Linked DNA regions of Coturnix japonica. The protein of the gene in region 1 purifies or fractionates together with the protein of each later gene. This does not show direct contact. Links are inferred from orthologs where the notes say so. Each region holds a gene or a part of one and is shown in the gene's direction. Other genes may lie near its edges. The genes, in order: H(+)/Cl(-) exchange transporter 5, TMEM9B and TMEM9.

Region 1 (3,747 bases):
TTGAGGCTGCGTTACAGCAGCAGTCTGTTGTGCTGCGGCTCTCACCTGGCATTGTCTTTTCTTAGCAGTTGGACCCTGGTTAACTGTGTGAGAGGCACACATGGAGGTCTTCTGTATGCGTGGTCTTTTGATGCTTAGCTGTTAAAGAAGAAATTACAATTAGTTTGTTAAGATCAATTTTTTTCTTCTGATCCTTTGTTAAAATTGGAGAAAAAACAAACCACCCACCCCTTTCCTCTGTCTGAAAAGCACGCAGTCAGTGCATGTGCCACAGCACCATCCCATTGGGGCTGAGGATCTGCTGGCAAGGCTGGGTTGGTGCTGCCTGGCCTGTGGGGGTGACCCAGCAGTGCTCCCTGCAAGCTGTGCTGGCTTCCTCCTGTAACTCACAGCCTGCACATGGGAACCTGGGTCTCCCAGGTTTACGCTTCATGAACTGTGATATGAGGAAGTCCCAAACAATTGACTGAGTTGACCAATGCGTTGTTGTTCTGCTCATGTTATAGGCTCCTCTGCTCTGGAGCTGCTGGCTCCCCTTGCCTTCTGCTGTGGTTTTTTACTTGTGGGTCTTGTTGAGCAGAGGGATGTGTGCATCTTTATGCAGAGATAATGTGGGGAGAATGTGGGGCTTGGGATGAAAAACCAAAGTGGGAGAGGGGAAGAAGAAGTGCCGTGAACTTCAAAGCTTGACTTTGATTTGCTAATCTCTGAAAAAAGTAGCCTTGTGGTCTGGCCCTTGTGTTTCTCTAATTTAAGTAGCCGCTAGGTGGTAAACTTGCTCCTTCCCCACAGGAAGAATGACTCATAGAAGCAGCTGATCAGAATTACTCCATGCTCTTTTTAAAGAGCATAATGTCTTTGTGCTGGTGGTGGAGTTGGAGCCAAGCCCCGTATCAGATGAGGAGGAAAAAGTGTTTTGGAAACTTTTAGCATGTTCCAACTTCGAAAGCCTCAGGTTTGCATTCCTGAAGAGCTGCTCCAGGCCCCCTGCTTAGCTTTGCAGCCCTTCTGTATCGTCAGGCTGGTGTGTGTGGGAAGGGAAGGGGAAATCGTTTCAGAGCTGAGAGAACATCAAGACAGTCCGACAAGGAGGAGAACAGGTTTGCAGGATACAGGAGATGGTGTCGGAGCATGAAATGGGGAGAAAAGCCTGAAATATCTGGTGCTGATTTAAGTGTTGCAAGTGACGGAGCCAATGTTGTAACAGAGACTAGAGGCGGGTTTTTTTTCAGCCAGAATGGCAATGGGGTACTCTGGGCTTCCTGATTGTTGTTGCTGAGTCACATCCAGGCATCACAGGGCTGGCTTCTTCAGGTTCTGTTTTGTTGCTTCCCTTTTGCCCCACTGAGATGGAAAGAAATGTCAGGCTGAAAAAGAAGTAGAAGTTAACAGGAGCAGCTCCAGAAGGATGGCTTGGTACTCACTGGAGCGCTGGGAGAGCCCGCAGCCCTTTGGTATGTATCATTACCATGGGAGGGTTATAGAGAGCGTGCAGACCATGCCAGCACCCTGCTGCGTGGTCTGATAGGAAAGAAGCAAAAGTATTGTGATACATTAACCATGAGATAAGCATGAGAACAGTCACTGTGTTTCTGTATGCGTGATTTAGACTGGAAATGTATTTTTTGCTCATAGAGGGGATATTATTGTTTAAAAAAAATTGGTTTAAAGCTGTATCTCTCAAGACTGATATAGGACTTATGAAAGAAGAGGGGCACTGAATTATCTTGTGTCCAGCTGTATGGATGCTAGATGCTTACCCAGTATCTGCAAGCACTGGAGAGTGGTTTGCTTTTTGGTTTTGTTGTGAGTGACAACGAAGTTAGGGATAAGGAGCAGGAGCTGACACTGCTCCAGTTTCCTCCCTTTGGAACAGGCAGTGTGTGCTGGCAGCTGTGTGCCCTCTTGTCTGCTAAGGGAGGCAGCTTTATCAGGGCTGGGGATTCACGCTTTTAGTGCAGAGAGAATACATGAATATAGACCTCTTTTAACCCTCCTTTCACACACATAAGCTTACACGCAGTCTGACTGGAAAATACCTATTAGACTGTTCTGTTGTGTGTTAACCCTGTGATGCAAAGCATAGTTTCTTAGCTCTCTGCTGGGATGGGTCTTGCTGGCCCTGCCCCATTTACTGCAGGGAGCAGATTAGCTGAGGGACAGCATTGCACTTCAGTGAAACCTGATTTTATTGTTAGCTGGCAAAGAATAGCCTTGAGCTCCAAAAAAAAAAAAGTAAGGCACCATTAGTTTTGTGTGCGCACTGATTGAGGTTTAACCTGATTTGCCTTTGTGCTTTTGGAATGTGTTAAAAGCATCAGTTCTGGCAGAGCAGAGTCCAGCAGCTCATGTGCCTTCCTGGACAGTGAGTTCCCAGCAGCAAGTGCTGAGCATTTTCTTTACTGGTGTGTTCTGCACCAGTTTAGTGAGTAAACAGGGCTTAAAAATTAAGCAACACTCTTTTCTACAGTGTAAGGCTCAGTAAAGAGCTCAGTGTGTCATTTCACTGTGCAATGCCAACATTTTTTTTTGGAGTGGTGCTTTTTTGTTCATAGGAAGTGCTTTTTGCAGACTGTGTAATTCAGACTGTTTGCACATGCTGCCTTCTTCCCTTCCTGAAATAAGGCTGAGCTGCAGATTTGGTTCCTCTCTAGTTCCCTTGTACGTATACAAGAGAAAAGCAAACATGGCCTATCGTCTCATTGAGATGTAAAGCTTTCTATTTTCGTGTTCCATGGGCTGTTTTTGAGGCTGAGACCTGATTTTATATATATATATATATATATATATATATATATATATTTATTTTTTTTTTTATTATTTTTTTTTTTTACTTCCAACCTAGGCTATTATTAAATGTTTAGATCCTGTTGTGCTCTCACAGTCTCCTTGCCATCCTAGGCAGTCACAGAATCACAGAATGGGTTGTTGTCATGGTTTTGTATGGGAAGTGGTCCAGCCTGACTAAATCAAGAACTAGGTTAGGCTGCCCAGGGCCCCCTCCAGCCTGGCCTTAAGCACCTCCAGGTATGGGGCACCCACACTTCTCTGGGAAGAAGACAGGCCTTGTGTCATGGCCTGCTGCCAGCATCTCCTCGAGATGGCCAGGTCAGGCAATGGGTTAGGGATACTTGATTAAGAATATTTGTGAAGTTGTATTGTGGTTTGCTGTCTAGGTCAGAGAGCCCAGCAGCAGCAGTGGCTCCGTGTTTCGGATCCTTTCTTCTTGTATGCTGGGTCTGTCATGTGTGCTGCCATCCTTCAAGGCTGGAGAACTGGTGTGCTTGCACAGGCTATCTGCAAGTCAAGCGTGGTCCCAGCACAAGGGCAGCCGTGCTTTGGTGCTGGGAGTATGCAAGTGGGTGTGTATAGCTTTCTAAACTTGTTACCTTTTAAGGCCACAGGTGTCTTAATACTGCTGTGTGTCTTCACTTCTGATGGCAAGAGCAATGCTGCCTCTTTTGACGTTTTGGGACAAAATGTCCAGGGGACACTTGCCCAGTTAGTTTATAAAATGTCTTCACATTTCTACTCTAAAAACATTTCTACTCTTAAACCTTTCCATTTGCTCCCAGGTTTGGAAGCTCTGGCCATGGATCAGAAAGGCTATCGACGAGGGAGTTTCCAAAGCAGCACTAGTGATGAAGATATGCTAGAAATAGCAGGAGCATCTCTGGACTTCTCTATGGCAGATGATGATCCACCACTCGACAGAGAAATGGGAGGTAATACCATGCATCTCTCCAC
Region 2 (3,747 bases), on another chromosome or scaffold:
TATGTACCTCGGGGCACCATGCCGAGCAGCTTCTGCTAGCTTAACTAAATGCACAACACAGCAAGCCCTGCCATTTCTGCCACCTCAAGTAGAGGGCACCAACTCCTGCCAAGTCCACTACTTAAGTAGCAAGGGTCACCAATCCTTATGTAAAAAGAGGAACCAACCCCTGCTACTTCCGCCATCTTAAACAACTATAGGGACAACACAGCAAACCCTGCCACTTCTGCTCTTATGCAACATAGGAGCCAAACATCCTTGCTACCTCCGCCATTTTAGGTAGCAGGGCATGTGTACCCCTGTGACTTCTGCCATCTTAGAGGCAAAAAAACCCAGCAACCCAGCCATCTCCACCACCTTAAGTAACAAGTGGCATGATGCAGGAACCCCTGCTAGGACCAGCATAGGAGTATGGAGGAGAAAAGCATGGAAAGCTGAAATACAGCTACCAGAAGAGCTGTTCTGTTATCACACCCCATGACAGCCCTGACCTCCAGGTGCATGGTACTGTGCCAGACACGTCTCCCCATGGGACAGGCATGGGGCAGGCACGGGATGGATCCAGGCTGGCTCACTCGCCCTGGGACACCATGTTGTTGTTGCTGTTTTTTATTTAATAAAGCAAAACGAAACCCCAAGCATTGCCATGTGTCCAGCTGCATTACCGTGTGATGAGGATATTCTACATGTTGTTGTTGCTGTTCTTTATTTAATAAAGCAAAACGAAACCCCAAGCATTGCTGTGTGTCCAGCTGCATTACCGTGCGATGAGGATATTCTACAGTGCATATGAAAGCAGGGGGCGGCCGTGGGCAGACCTTGAGCAGACACAGACATTATATTTACACTCCCAAGCACTTGGAGAGGGTTTATTCATGGTTTCAAATGAGACCCAGCTTCTATTTCATACTTATTTTTGTTTGTTACTAACTCGTTAAACCGCGTATGCTTCTTAACGCCGGCTGTATTTCCTCTTAACAAAACCACGGTTAAAACAAACACCGTTTATTTAACGCGATATTAGTCCCTCTCCGCCCGGAACCTCGTGGCGCTGTCGCAGTTCCCCGCGGACCTCAATGAGGAGCGGACATCACCGGAAGAGAACGGGAGGAAGGTGGAAGTGATGGCGGCGGCACGGTAGTGTTGTTAATTAGGCGGTGTTGTGTTGTTAGGCGGTGCTTTAGCAGGAGAAGCCCCGGACCGACATGGCGGCCGGCCTCGGGGGCTGGCTGTGCCTCTGCGGGCTGCTGGCTGTTCTGGCGGGGCTGGGCGCACAGGCTAAGGTGAGTAGTGCTGTTTGTGTATTTATCCCGGTAATTGCTTTGAGCTCTTGAGATGAAGGTGGTTTGTTGTCAGTTCTTGGGGTCTGACATACTGTGTGTGTGCGCTCCGTGTCCCGGCTCAGCGTGTTGTTTGCTTTGCAGAATTCCGAGGACGTCCGATGTAAATGCATTTGCCCTCCTTACAAAGACCACTCGGGCCACATCTACAATAAGAACGTCTCGCAGAAGGACTGGTGAGTTTATCGTGGGGAGTTACAAACAGCGTGACTGTCTGTCAGCGTTCTGTGGCGATGACAAAAACATCTCTGCTACATCTCATTGCGCCTTCGCTTCTAAAAGCATTTCAGAATTGAAGAGATGAGGGTTTTCACCCTTAATGTTTCTCCATCTTCTATTTTGGATTGCTTTGTTTGCCTGTTTTTAGTTCCTGTTGCATAAGGCTTGGAGGTAGTAGAAGGAAAGGGGTGTTGTAATTTGAATTCAGTGACCACAAGTGGTATCATGGTGAAGTAGTGTATCTGTTAATCTAGGATAGGGATTGTTTTCTCCTACTTCTCTGCTCTCAAAACCAGTCCTGTTGTTCAGAGATTGTTTTGGAGGTTTGTTCCTCAAAAATCACAGTCAGAGAATGCAGTATAGTTAGCAGCACATTCTCTCTCCTGTGTATAGAGAAACCTGTGTCTCAGCCACGTACTGTGTTGTTTTGCTTGGACCTACCCATGGCATCTGTCAGATTTAAACTGAGCTGAGGACCAGTGTATGTGGGCAGGGATGAGCAGCTGGGGAAGAAAGGAAGATAGCACTGATTTAAAGCAGCATGCTTTGGAGTTGCTGTGATATCCAAAGTGCTCAGGAATTTGTGGATCAACCTATAAAAATGTGAAATATGTTTTGATATGTCGACTCTTTTCCTTATATACCAAGAATTATTAGTAGGCTTTTTGGTCTGTTGAATAGCAGCTGGCTAGCAGCTTGATTGTGAATAATCCATACCCCTTAGTAATCCCACCAAAACAATTAGAGGAATGAAGTTAGTGATACAGATGTGTATTAAGAGCTGTGCCTTGACTTACTGACTTACTTACAGAAGAGCTGTGAGAAACAACACCATAAATTTCAATCTGTGTTAATGAACATAAAATGTAGTGTCTAATCTAAATTACTGTTTTGTCCCATGTGGTTAGCTTAATGTGATTAGGCCTGCTGTGACAAATTAGTCATAGTCAATGCAGTAGTAAGACATACTGAGAGAACTGCAGCTGCAGCTGGCATTTCAGAGTGACTCTGTTAATGGCTTAGTTGCCTATTACTCCTCTGCCTATTAAGTGTGGTTTTTTCAGTGGACATTGCTTAGCATGTGCCCTACTGCCAGAAAAGGCCTTGTTTCACTTTAAATCGTATTGGTAGTGATTTAAGGAAAAATTAACTTTGTAGTCTTGGCTCGTTTCATGGTGACAGGTAAATGGTGCTTACAGGATCTCAGAAACCTATTTTCTGGTCCTAAATCTTATTTTGTTGGGGTTGTTTCTTGTGAGACCACTTGGGAATGTTTTGGTCTTCTTGTTTGAGTTGCCTTCTTGCTACTTTAAAAAGGCTTCACTGCTTGGTCATGTGCAACAAAGTAGACCATTTTAGTGTCACACTTGGGCTTCTGCATCTGTGCCAGTGACCTGTTATTGTATAGAACAGGGTGATGTGCTCTGCCCTTCGGGCATTTACATCTGTCGCTCTGAGGCAAGAGTCAGATCAGTGAGTTACGTTCAGTATGATCACTTACTGCCTCCTTATCTGGACTCCAAATCTTTAATATTGAGCTTAATCTTTAATATTGAACTTGTAGCCTGCATTATGATACTCTTATTTAGGTACTTCTGTTCTTTTGTTGGAGAGGTCCTTCTTTTTCATCCTCACAGACTGCTAAACAATGCCTTTTGATAACATCAGTGTGAGCTGACAGTGCTCCAACACCAATAAATGTGTTTTCCATTTGAGAGTTTGGAGCTACTGCTGACACTTCAGTCCTGACAAACAACACACTAGGCAAGCATTGTGCTGTGTAAGACTAAGCACCTACATGACATTCAGTTAAATAACCCACTTTGAGAGAAATGCATTTATATTTCATGTCTAGAGGCTGATTGCTTTAATAGTCAAGGACATAGTGGGAGGGAAGGTGCCCTGTCTGCTTTGGTGGATAAACTGAAAGCTGACCTGAAACTGTGCTTTTGGCTTGCCTTGATTTGCTAGGAAGAATAGCTTCATTGGTGCTGTTATTGTTGAGTGGGAACACCCTTTAGGAAAGGGTCAACCTTTTCCATGTATTCCTCTTAAACTGCCATGGAATCACAGTCCAAGGAAACATATAATCCAAACTGAGAGCTTTTACCCTCCATAGCAATGTGAAACTGAACTAGAGAAAAAAAAACCTTGCTGATATTATTTGATATATTCACAGTAACAGATA
Region 3 (3,747 bases), on another chromosome or scaffold:
ACAAGGCTGGAACTCAGAAGATAACTAAGCCCACTGTCTGAGCTACATGGGACAGACACTAAGGAAAAACCCAGCAAGGAAAGGAGCAGAAAATGATCTCCTGGATGTGCTGTGTGGTCCCCCCCCCATTGCTACAAAGAAAGCATCCTCCCCTACACCACAGAACACAAGTCAATGCACACACACGAAAACAACCTTCAGAAAGAGGGACTGGAAACTTCCAAGCTCATCAGGTATTTGGCAGACTTGTCTCTGAGGTACTCACCTGAAAGACTGAAACCTGCATCCAGCGTTGGAGCTGCTTGGGTCATTTATTTACTCACTCCAGGAGGACTGCTCAGCATCTTGTCACTAGGTGAAGCTGTGTCCTGTAAGCACACATCCAGCTTATTCCAGTCCCACAAGAAGCACTGGTATATATAGTTATACTGCAGAAAAAAAACAAAGAAGGATAGATTACTGTGACAATAAAAACGTCAGAGCAGATAAAAATACCTCCTTACCAGTTGTGCTGGGCAAGTTGGCAACATAAGAGCCCTGTGGTCATGATAAAAACTCAGCAATTTCACAACATTGGTAGCATCCCACAGCCAGGGCTGAGGTCGTGCTCAGAAGTAAGAGCAGCAAGTTGCAGCACAGCAGTGCTTCCGCTTGGCAGCACTGGAGTAGGAGGAAGGAATTAGAAGTCCCTTGTGCACCTGATTGCCAGGATGATTCATCTGGAACATTTCCTTGGGTCAATCCAGCTGGAGCAGGCCGTGACCCTCTAATGGACTCCAGCTGAGTGTGTGGGGAACACAGCGTGCTGGGCCAGCACCTTATGCATGGCAGAGCTGGGGGAGAAAACACTCTTACATCAGGAATTCCCACACCTGGGTGCACTGCAGAACTGACAACCTCCACAACTGTACAAACCTTCAAACAGTCTCAGCTTGCTCATAGCAGCAAATCTCCTCTCAGCTGCGTACCACATCACACCAGAGGGGCATCCCCTGATTTACACATGCTTCCAGTTGAATGTATCTCACCACAGCCTCCTGATTTCCATTTTCAAACAGCAAACCCCAGAGACCCACACAGCCCCAGAGGGACCCAGAGATCCACTCAGCCCAGGGGGCCCCATCTCCCCCAGCAGCAGGCCGCAAAGCCAGGCCCACTGAACGCTCCCTCTGAAGACAAGGCCGCAGCTGTGGGAAGCACAGCGTTGCCCTCAGCGCAGCCGTAGGCCTGAGGCTTCTAACACAGAACCAGAGAGTGCTAAATGTGACTTATAACGGTAAAGCAGCCCAACCCAATCCGTTACTGCAGTGCTGTGACAGCGCTTTACCCTCAATACAGAAAGCGGGCACGCAGACCCACAGCTACACGTCATATCTAAACACCGAACCCCACGACCCCCCACCTCACACTGAGGTGCAGCACAGGCGCGGCCCATCTTATTAGAGCACGGTAGGCCTCTCTGCTTTCCGATTGGCCGAGCGCTCTGCCCGTCACGCTGCAACCAATGGGCGCAGGGCTGGGGTGGGGCTTGCAGGGGCGCCGGCGTCAAGCGGCAGGTAAGGCCCAGAGCGGCGGCGGGGGGCGGCCTGGGCGGAGGGGGGGGGGGGCGGTGTTACACGGCTCCTTCAGCGGGACGCTGGGCCTCATAGATGGGCGGGCTGCAGCCTGGATGAACGGAGAGGAGGAATACCGGGAAGACGGCCTGGGGCTGTGCTGTAAGGAGCGGAGCGTTGGGGGTGGGGGGTGGATCGGATGTGATGCTCGTAATCTCTGTGTAAACCTGACGGGATGTCGGCCCGGCTGCTGTGGAGCGTTGGAATAAGGTGAAGAGGGGAGAGGTGTGGATTTAAGGGGGTGTAAATGGCTGTGAGAACCGGAGGAGCTGGGGCGAGGTGTGGGATCGAGGTGTGGTAACGGGGGTCTGTTGGAGCCTGAGTGTGTAAAGAGAGCTCAAGTCTGACAGAGCTTCAGTGTGCAAAGAGCTCGAGTCTGACAGAGCCCTGTTGTGCAGAGAGCTCACATCTGTCAGCCTCAGTGTGCAAAGAGATCACATCTGTCAGAGCACCAGTGTGTAGAGAGCTCATATTTGTCAGAGCTTCAGTGTGCAAAGAGCTCATGTCTGACAGCCTCAGTGTGCAAAGAGAGCTCACATCTGTCAGAGCCTGTGTGTGCTAAGAAAGCTCACATCTGACAGAGCCTTGGTGTGCAAAGAGCTCACATCTGCCAGCCTCAGTGTGCAAAGAGAGCTCACATCTGACAGAGCCTCAGTGTGCAAAGAGATCACATCTGTCAGAGCACCAGTGTGTAAAGACAGCTCATATTTGTCAGAGCTTCAGTGTGCAAAGAACTCAAGTCTGTCAGAGCTTTGCTGTGCAGAGAGCTCACATCTGTCAGCCTCAGTGTGCAAAGAGAGCTTGCATCTGTCAGAGCACTGGTGTGCAAAGAGATCACATCTGCCAGAGCCTCAGTTTGCAGAGAGCTCATGTCTGTCAGAGCTTCAGTGTGCAAAGAGCTCACATCTGACAGAGCCTGAGTGTGTAAAGAGCTCACATCTGTCAGAGCACAGGTGTGCAAAGAGAGCTCATGTCTGTCAGAGCTTCAATGTGCAAAGAGCTCATGTCTGACAGCCTTGGTGTGCAAAGAGCTCACATCTGTCAGCCTCCGTGTGCAAAGAGAGCTCACATCTGCCAGAGTCTTGGTGTGTAAAGAGAGCTCGTCTGTCAGAGCACTGGTGTGCTAAGAAAGCTCACATCTGCCAGCTTCAGTGTGCAAAGAGCTCACATCTGTCAGAGCACCAGTGTGTAGAGTTCATATTTGTCAGAGCTTCAGTGTGCAAAGAGCTCGCATCTGTCAGAGCCTTGGTGTGCAAAGAGCTCACATCTGTCAGCTTCAGTGTGCAAAGAGAGCTTGCATCTGTCAGAGCTTCAGTGTGCAAAGAGCTCACATCTGGCAGAGCTTCAGTGTGCAAAGAGAGCTCCCGTTGCTTTGGATTTGTGCAAAAACAGCTCTCTGCAGTGACTTCATCCACACTTCTGTAGCAAAATCAGCATCACAACACCTACTTCAGAGCACTGTGATGCTGAGTGTGGCACCAGGAGTGATGTGTGGCTTCAGGGCTCAGTGAACAGTGTTTAGTTGGGGTGAATGTCTCCATGCCCCAAGCTCTTTGGATGGGGACATTTTGGGGTCTGTGAGTTGGGTTTCCAAGAGTTTCAGGTTGGCACCTCGATACAGGGAGAAACTTCCATTTCTTGGGGGAAATAACGTTAAGTTATTTAATTAAGAAGGTTCCTTTATGGGAATTTCTGTTTCCTCAGGCTTCCACAATGTTTGTCCAATGCACCTGGAAGTGTGCAAGCTCCATGCTGCTGATTGCACTGCTGAGCTGCGTCCTTTCTCCTCCAGCACAGGCTGGCAAGGTGAGTGAACAACTTCAGACACACTGAGTGTGGTACAACGGGCACAGAAATGGCAGAGAAGCAACTGTTTTTCAACAGAAATATGAAAAAGGAAAAAGAGCTGCAGCAGGTCAGTGCACACATGTGTATCTGTAACATGAAGGGCTGTGAATGTATGTGATGGAGGCCTCAAGTCTGTGCTTTGCAATACATCTGAGGAGAACCTGATCTCTGGAGAGAAGAAATAAGAGAAATAAGAGATGTGATGTGAAGTCATCTCTCTCTTTGGGAATGTTCTGCTGCCACAGCCTTATGTGTGAGGGCAGCAGAGCTGTACCCGTGTGTTTTA

What was found.
Region 2: the proteins of H(+)/Cl(-) exchange transporter 5 (region 1) and TMEM9B purify together in Homo sapiens (co-immunoprecipitation; 3 studies listed by BioGRID and IntAct, counting the BioPlex papers as one, with this or other methods). This does not show direct contact. The link is inferred for Coturnix japonica from reciprocal best matches to the Homo sapiens genes CLCN5 and TMEM9B.
Region 3: the proteins of H(+)/Cl(-) exchange transporter 5 (region 1) and TMEM9 purify together in Homo sapiens (co-immunoprecipitation; 3 studies listed by BioGRID and IntAct, with this or other methods). This does not show direct contact. The link is inferred for Coturnix japonica from reciprocal best matches to the Homo sapiens genes CLCN5 and TMEM9.

Annotation. Positions count from the first base shown.
Region 1 is NC_029519.1:9,198,639-9,202,385, forward strand, and holds the start of H(+)/Cl(-) exchange transporter 5, read left to right. Parts: upstream 1-992; 5' UTR 993-1,408; coding exon 1,409-1,454; intron 1,455-3,575; coding exon 3,576-3,725; intron 3,726-3,747. UniProt on the Homo sapiens protein: Proton-coupled chloride transporter. Functions as antiport system and exchanges chloride ions against protons. Important for normal acidification of the endosome lumen. May play an important role in renal tubular function.
Region 2 is NC_029520.1:13,761,964-13,765,710, forward strand, and holds the start of TMEM9B (transmembrane protein 9B), read left to right. Parts: upstream 1-1,080; 5' UTR 1,081-1,205; coding exon 1,206-1,283; intron 1,284-1,424; coding exon 1,425-1,516; intron 1,517-3,747. UniProt on the Homo sapiens protein: Enhances production of pro-inflammatory cytokines induced by TNF, IL1B, and TLR ligands. Has a role in TNF activation of both the NF-kappaB and MAPK pathways.
Region 3 is NC_029541.1:1,279,985-1,283,731, forward strand, and holds the start of TMEM9 (transmembrane protein 9), read left to right. Parts: upstream 1-1,480; 5' UTR 1,481-1,556; intron 1,557-1,585; exon of another isoform or gene 1,586-1,823; intron 1,824-3,317; 5' UTR 3,318-3,326; coding exon 3,327-3,419; intron 3,420-3,747. UniProt on the Homo sapiens protein: Transmembrane protein that binds to and facilitates the assembly of lysosomal proton-transporting V-type ATPase (v-ATPase), resulting in enhanced lysosomal acidification and trafficking.